Drosophila melanogaster: one gene and its partner. The protein of the gene in region 2 interacts with the protein of the main gene of each other region in a pairwise test. Each region holds a gene or a part of one and is shown on either strand. Other genes may lie near its edges.

Region 1 (4,877 bases), on a different chromosome or scaffold from region 2:
ACGTTATTTAAGTTAATTTTATTGCTGGCATTTGTAAAATGTCAAACCCCGTCTACCAGAATATTTCCCCCAGGTTTTCCTTTGTGGGGTTGCCTTTGATTTCAATTTTCTTATCGCAGATCAAGTGTTAGTGTCGTTTGTTAAATTGGGACAACAATGAAAGTACTTTTTTGGGGTAGGTAAAGGTCAATCCCTGACCTTTCCCGCGAGCCCATAAATATTATGACTGCCCTAGTCGATAATCTCTTCAAAGTTTTCGTCGCTCGCTGGACTTTTAATGAATGTCAGAAAAGCACATAAACGAAATTTCAAAAGCCACGCCCACCCAAAACGCCCCTCTGAGCCACACAAACACATATGGGTGAAGGCCCAAAGCGAATGCGAAACAAAATGTGGCTAACTTTGACCTTTTTCGAAAAGTGAAATAAACAAACAAATTGAAAGCAACACACAAAACAAATCCTGGTCAAAGGGGCGGGGTGAGCGATGGGGCGTGGCCAACATGGCAGGATGAACTAATTCTCTGGCACTCCAAAAAAGGGCTCAGAATAAACATTTTCGCTGGAATAGAACGCATAAATCAGCGAAGATATATAAGATTTCGTCGATACGAAAACGTTCTCTAGAAATTCAGAGGGTGTTCAACGAAGAGAGGGGTTTAGATGGTTTATTGTCTGTCCTGAGTAATGACTGCCCTGTCAAATCAAGCCCTTTCGAATCAAGACTTTATCCAGCAACTCATGTGAGTCCTAACAAAATACTTTTTTCTTTAGTGAATCCATGATTCACTCAATTGTCTATTTTTAGAATCACCGCCAAGAAATCTCGACGCCTGGTACCCTCACATCCCATGACCTTTGTTGTCTTTGTCAAAACAAAGCAAAATATGGCCAAAAGTATTACGCATACGCAGCGTTTGCTGTTTGTACAGAGGCGTTTGCATAATTAGCATAAATTTCGGAAATATTGTAGGCGACACTTGGGCGCACTTAAATGTTATCTCCGCCCGCAGGAAAATCGATTCAGTCGAGTGATCTAAGTTAACATGAAAATCAAATCACTGAAAATGGAAAAACGGAGACAAGAAGAAGCAAAAGTCGGAATCAAATAAAAATGTTTGCACAAACACAATAAAATTGGGGAAACGTTAAAAGAAAAATGTCAACAAAACAAATCGTTTTCTATTAGATTAACACGGGACAACAATTGCCAGAGAAGAAAGAAATCTTTTCACTTGGGTATCTTTATGTTGAAAGTAATATTCATTAACTTTTGATTTTTTTTTTATGGATTGGATATAATTAGCTATTTTTATCCCAACATTTTAAAATATCCAGAAAAAGTGGTTATTGCATTCCAATAAATATTCCTAGGGTCTATTACCAGGCAGTAACCAAATCGAATTTGTCGATGCCACTTTCACTGATTCCGTTTGGGTTCCCTACTCTCCAGTGAGAGAGAGTCAAAAAAAAAAAAAGAAAATTGTCTATTTTGGGAAATCCTACTGCTCTGTCTCCGCTTTTTCTCTCGTAAAATGTGGAGGGACGGACATTAGCTGTCTGCTCGTTTAGTATCCCAACCCCTTGAGAAACTTCCGAACGGCTTAAGGCTATAATCCGGCAGTAAACTGAGTAATGTACCGCTAAAGCAAAAGGCCTCCCTTCGAACCACCTAGAAGACCATTTTTCTGCTCCTTTGCTTCTGCAGATGTCCTTGGGCACAATGCATTCCAATTGAGATTGAGAAAGAAACGCAGCGGCATTCAAAGGAAACCGAGCGCGTTCCTCAAGGGTTCTCTTCACCAAAATCTGAGAAGGGGTAGACGCAGATGGATAAATGAGTACGGGACTCTAGCTTTACGATTGCGATTTAACTGTCTCATTAGGAATAGTTCGTGCAGTTGGCGCTGCAATTACCGCATGGGGAACTGGAAAAAGAAATGGCAATGGATGCTCCATTGAACGTTGACAATCATCATCTCCAATTGCACTTGCTTTTGGCGGATGGGGCGTATGCGTAATATGCTTCCATAATCCCCCCATGACGTCCATGCAGCTGTACAAAACGAGAAACGCACAGACTCGCTAGCAAATTGCATTCGGAATTGAAATAAAGTTGTGGAGAGTTTTAAGAAAAAGTATTTGACCTTCTAAGGGGTTAATGAATCCTGCTTTATGCTGGAAACCGGTCTTTATACGGATATAGAATTCCAGTTAGCCAATTCGGCATCCAGTTACCCATTATCTCATTAAGTCAAAATGTATTAGATTCCACAGAATTCTCAATTACTTCTAAATTACTTTAACAAACGCATAGATACGCATTGTGGCTGGCGAATAATTGCATTTACAGCCCTTCAGATTTCAAATAGGTCATAAAAGGCCACCACCTCCCCCAAGTGTCAGCCACTGAACTCACCTGTAACCAGGAAAAGGTGAGAAGAGCTTTGAGCTTGATTTAGAGTTCCTCTTTCCTGCTTGCCTATTTTCCGGTATTTGATTATCTGATTTATTGATGGTTTGAGATTCGGGTTTTTAATTGACTTATTGCCGAAAAAATTTTCACTCGCGAGAGTATCCCAAAAATGCGGTTGTATCTTACAGATGCGAATGTATCTCGAAGATCCGATGCGGTGTGGACTGATGCGATGCCCTTACGCGACTGAATTTCCGTGTGTTTGGTGCTCGGTGCTTTTGGACTTCGGTATGTTTCCTATTCGGATTTTTCGGTGTCCATCGGCTCTCTGCACTCTCCGCTCACAGTTGTTTTTGTTGCTCCTGGAGGGCAAACAATTTCTGTTTTTGTGGGACAACCAGCAAACAAAAGCACAAGGAAACTGAATCAAAATAAATGCCTTAAATAATTGATGGCATTCGCAATGACGGTCGTGTGCGAATAGTCAATATACATCATCAAATTTTGTGTATTCAATAATCTGACTTAGTTTTCTAAATTAAGTGTAAATTTGTTAAAATTTTAATTTAAAACTACCGTTTTATTCGCGACGCGGCAGAGAATCGGTTGGGAATTACACTGAGAAATAGAGACGTCCACTCCGCTGGCTGACTCGAACTGGATTGAAAAGCTGCCAGCCGCTTGCCGCCTTTATTTCCTCCTAAAAGAGAGTGGAAAACCGAGAGACAGAGAGAAAGTGTCCAAAAAGTTCCATTTGTGGTCTTCCATTGACACCCTTTTCCCTTTTCGGTTGATTTGCCTGTTCCACTGTCACTTGTTCCGTTCTCGCTCTCTCTGGATTTGTCCAGCTGATTACCCCTTCCAGGAGCAGGAGCTTCGACGGTCGCCAGTATCTGATAGTATCTTCTGGATAACGGTTTCATGGAAGTCAGCTGTTTAAGTGGCCCATTCTTATTACCCGTATATGTATGTTGTAGTTTTTAATATTTCATTGAAATTTAAAAATGATATGGTAAGTGATGTAGAAATTCAATAGGACTTATTAAAGCAGGCAAAAACAGAATAATTCAGTTTCTGTCTTATATTAAAGAACAACATTTTAGGGCTTAACTCTTTTTCCGTTTTAACTTTTCTTTATTAATTTTGCTTTAATTGAAACAACTCACGCATGTGAAAATCGTTGTTAACAAATTTATAGCCGCGAATATCCTTATCTTTGGAAAAAGTAACTAATTTGTTTGGGAGAGTGTGGGAGCTTTTCATTCCAGTCGCAAAGCTTTGACAAAGCACCGATGAGGAAAGAGTGATTGCTACACAGCTTTTCTCCAGCAAAGCGGCTACCAGAAGCTTTTACTCAACTTACTCAACAGCATTGAAAACGCGGTGCAGTTGTTGTTTCCCCCTTCGCCAACTGTTCGCCACATCTGCTCGCGTTTCATTGATGCCCAAATATAGGTCAACAATTTGTTCGAGAGTGGGTGGCTGGGTGGTTGATTGTCTTGGGGGCAGTGGTGGGTGGTGGAGGTGTTACATCGCCAACTGAATTATCAGTGTCAGCGAGCGAATGCAGCGGTGGATGCGATGCTGCTATCTGAGGAACACGGCAAACATTGTAAATTGCTCGCCTGACGATGATTGCTTGGGGTTCACCTCGCAACTGGCAACTCAGAACAAATTGCTCGACATTGCGCATACGCCGCGTTATCGGCATGGAATTTATGACGGCACACTCGCCTTGTGTTCACGTCCTTTGGCCAGCCGCCGCCGTCTTTAATTGAATTTTTATGCGCCACCAGCGATCCGCGAAACGTCAGAGGAAAGTGAAAAGTCTTTGCTGTCATCTTCGGCCCTTTTTTAATTTTTCCATACAGAGAGAAAAATGTAACTACAATATTTATATTAATTTTAGACTGCTTCGAACATTTTATGACAAAATTGTATAGTTGCTCCCTTAGGAGTATTAAAAAGAAAAGTAAATTTACTAAAATGTAGTAATTTAACATCCATTTTATTTATCTTGATAAATTTTTATACATATGCTAAGAATACACTGCAAATCATTTTATTCTCAGTGCAAAGCCACCTTGGGCTCTTTCTTTGCTTTTATCCGCCGATCTTCGGCCCTTTTTTAATTTTTCCATACAGAGAGAAAAATTTAACTACAATATTTATATTAATTTTAGACTGCTTCGAACATTTTATGACAAAATTGTATAGTTGCTCCCTTAGGAGTATTAAAAAGAAAAGTAAATTTACTAAAATGTAGTAATTTAACATCCATTTTATTTATCTTGATAAATTTTTATACATATGCTAAGAATACACTGCAAATCATTTTATTCTCAGTGCAAAGCCACCTTGGGCTCTTTCTTTGCTTTTATCCGCCGACGAATTAGTGACGTCCGAAAGTGGGTCAAAAGCTGAGCTCGCTCAGCTGGCTAAGCTGCCCCGGCTAGTCCGCA
Region 2 (3,310 bases):
CTACATATAGATATCCATCCTCTTCATTATGCGAGTGCAACCATTATCGAGCTCCTCAAAAGGACTTTGCGCGCTTTGAGACCAATTTATTGATTTCTGGCTGAGCAGCAGAAAGTCGCCCAAAGCAACAACCCTCATTACAATTCCGAATACCAATCAAACAGTTTCTCATGGCATTGTGAATGCTGTCGACACTGGCCTAAACATTTAAGCCATTAACACGCAAAGGTCGCCAAATTCTATTGATTATGACCGCTGGCCAGACGAAAGGGCCAAGAGCGACCGCCCAGCGAAACGATAACAAATAACAATAACAAACAAACAATCGACACAAAGAGTCCTGTTGAATTTCTTGGTAGGGGGTGGGGTTTGTCTGGGGGAAATTCGGCGCTTGAACGACTAAACTGTTTTTCCTTTTTACTGTCTGGCAGTCGCAGTCGTTGGAGGAGGAATAAAAGTCGATTTGAGTTAATGCCAACTGACAGCCAGTTGTCAATTAAAGCAAACAATCGCATGTTATTACAATTTTCGTTAAGTACTGAGTGTGTAAGAAACAACTATAAATTTAATATAGGATAGCTAAGTAAAAAAAAAAAAAACAGTAATACAACCAATAAATGATATCCTTAAGATATGTACAAACATCCAGTACGCATCACTAGCTTCTGCGTCTAGGATTTTTCAACTCCTTTTTCCTTGCCCTCTTCGAAGGTTTCATGTAAGACCTGCGGGTTCAGGACAAGTATTGAGCCAATCGACGAAGTCCGGCATGCCATTAATCAATAAATACCATTCGCCGCTGGGAATGTAAACGTTGCACACGCAGGCATTCAGCAAATGCAGGACCCCAGCGATTACGCCAAAGGCGCTCGACATATAGAATATGTATGCGAACTCGTTGCCGCAATGATCGACCATGGACACCAGGAGGGCAAGTGCGCTTCCTAGGCACAGGAAGCCGCTGGCGAAATTAAACGTCATCGCCTGTAAAACACACTCGTTGAGCATTCATCATCGCCAAATAACTATCGAAACCAGAACAACCCAACCCAGCCCAGCAACGCCCCGCCCAGCCCAACAAATGTATGTGTACGCACAATTGGATCGAGGCCCACGGTGGTGCAGCATAGCCGGAATATGACGAGAACCACGCTCTGACAGGCGATGGCGGGTAGGATGAACGTGTACATCCACACCGATATGCCGTACTCCTCGCCCAGGACACAGTGCGTGGATAGGATTCGGATGAGCAGACCCAGGGCCACAACCTCCAGGACCTGATGGACAAAGGCAGATACGTTACCACGCCCATTGCACTGCAAGATTGCAGTTATAGTCACCGCCGTTAGCAACTGCAGCACAAAGTTCACCAAACGAAAGGGGAAGCTCATAATGGTAACCAGAAATTTTGTTCAAAGCATTGACAGTAAAAGCAAATCTGCCATCTAATGAAGGAAAAAAGGAAACCGTTTTTCCTTACTTCGATTGGACTTTGAATTGGCTACATTTTAAAAGTAGGTGAACTGTAGCATCAAATTACAAGATATTAAGATACCCCAATAACATAGTGTGACCAGTATCCCCAAATTACAATCTTATGTAGCTTTGGGCACACTGTTTTACTGTAAATGCTTTATTCAAGATGCCAACTTGTGGAATTGCTTCACTCGTAGCAAAATTTTATTGTTTTCTCTTGCTCCTCTTATTTTTTGCGTTTTTCATTTCGTTTTGGCCCAGCTAATCTAATTGGCCTCGATAGCGCTTGTTGAGTGCCCGAGTCGTTGCCCCGCTGCCACGCATTTGTTGCTTTGTTTGCACTAATTTCATTACTTGTGGAATGTGGCGATGATTTCATGCAATTTAAAGCCACATTTTTCAGTGGCAAAACATTTAGCGAAGTACCTGACCGGACCCGATCCGAGCCGGACCCATGGAACTCGGGCCCAAGTGCCCAAGTGGCCAAGAGTAGTCCCATAACCGGCTAGCGTCGTCGACCCACTCCAGGCTTTCGTTTCGGAACGCCGACTGGGATCGAGCAATGGAAATACCGTTGATAAATGAAAATTTCAAAACGTGAACCAACAAAAGGGGACAAAAACAAACGAAAGCAAACCGAACACAAAACAAGCGGAAAAAAGGGGGCGGCAAATATAATATAATTTAATTTGTTCGCTTTTCAAAAGGTGCTCAGCCCCAATTGTCCCGCCGCCCCTTTTCCATATAAACCAAACTAGGTTTGTTTAAGCATTTTGATTGAGCAAAAAACTCTTAATTTCTTAGGGTGAAAAAGTGATCGATACTTTAGCAAGTCAATCGCTGGATGGGAGGACAACTCTCCCGAGTGGCATAAATTTTGGCAGCTTTGTTGCGACAATTGCATATTAGCCAAACATGACAACGTTTCGCCTTTTCGGTGAAATTTATGGAAAAATGTTGCAAAGACAAAAAACTTTCGACTCGAGATAGAGACAGAGATGCGATGCGAAGTGAAGTGAACTCCCCAAAGCGGCCAAAGGAGCAGGAGAAAGAGAAATGTTCTCGAATAAACAACAGCGGAAATGTAGGCTATGATTTGCTTACTTGTGGGGCGGTGGAAAGGGGGGCCTTTTGCAACAGGGGAGTTGGACCAATGACAAGGGCGGTGTGGCATGGCAAAAGTTGCAAGAGTCAGAGAGCTGGCGAAACATAAATCAAATGCATGTAAAATTGTCGTACTTTCCGCACACATATCCTGATCCTGTGCAAGTGCATTGGGCAGGCCCAAAGCAGGACAAGCGCCGGAGGAAAGGACGAAGGAAAAGGACGAAATAGGAAGGACGGTATATTGGTGGGCGGTGTGGCAATGAGTGAGCGTATGGATGTGTGTGTGTGTGTGTGAGTCGGAGTGCGTTGTGTTTTGTGCACATCCGTTAACTTTGTCATTTTTGCTCATTTCCTTCCGGCTCGCGCAAGAAAACTGCAGCAGCAGGAGCAGGGCCAAACGAAATGATTCCCAGCAGTGCTCCACTGAGCCACTGAGCCACCGAGCCACTGAGCCACTGACAAGCCGTAAGCCGTAAGAAACCCAACCGAACTACAAACACAAGGCTCGATGGCGAAACAAAAGCAATGCGGAAAGCGGCAATAAGTTGGGGGCATAACTTTCAGTGCCTTCAAGAACACGTCCTCCAGTGGCGTGCGAAATGGGGTTCTTTAGTCCTCAATGAGATACAAAAGTTCTTAACTTCTGATTGTGACTTTTTCGAACGAATTGCGCATGCAAAGTTGCCGTCTTTCACTTTAATCACATTATTAATCACTTTTTGTCTAC

Evidence for each region.
Region 1: the proteins of CG12426 (region 2) and Slob interact in a two-hybrid assay, tested with the Drosophila melanogaster proteins (one large-scale study listed by BioGRID).

The regions. Positions count from the first base shown.
Region 1 is NT_033779.5:7,672,021-7,676,897, forward strand, and holds the start of Slob (slowpoke binding protein), read right to left. Parts: upstream 3,059-4,877; 5' UTR 2,419-3,058; intron 1-2,418. UniProt on the Drosophila melanogaster protein: Regulator of calcium-activated channel Slo. Increases or decreases the voltage sensitivity of Slo, depending on the absence or presence of 14-3-3-zeta in the complex, respectively.
Region 2 is NT_033777.3:27,870,953-27,874,262, forward strand, and holds CG12426 (uncharacterized protein), read right to left. Parts: upstream 1,439-3,310; 5' UTR 1,392-1,438; coding exon 1,341-1,391; intron 1,278-1,340; coding exon 1,098-1,277; intron 985-1,097; coding exon 791-984; intron 726-790; coding exon 659-725; 3' UTR 549-658; downstream 1-548.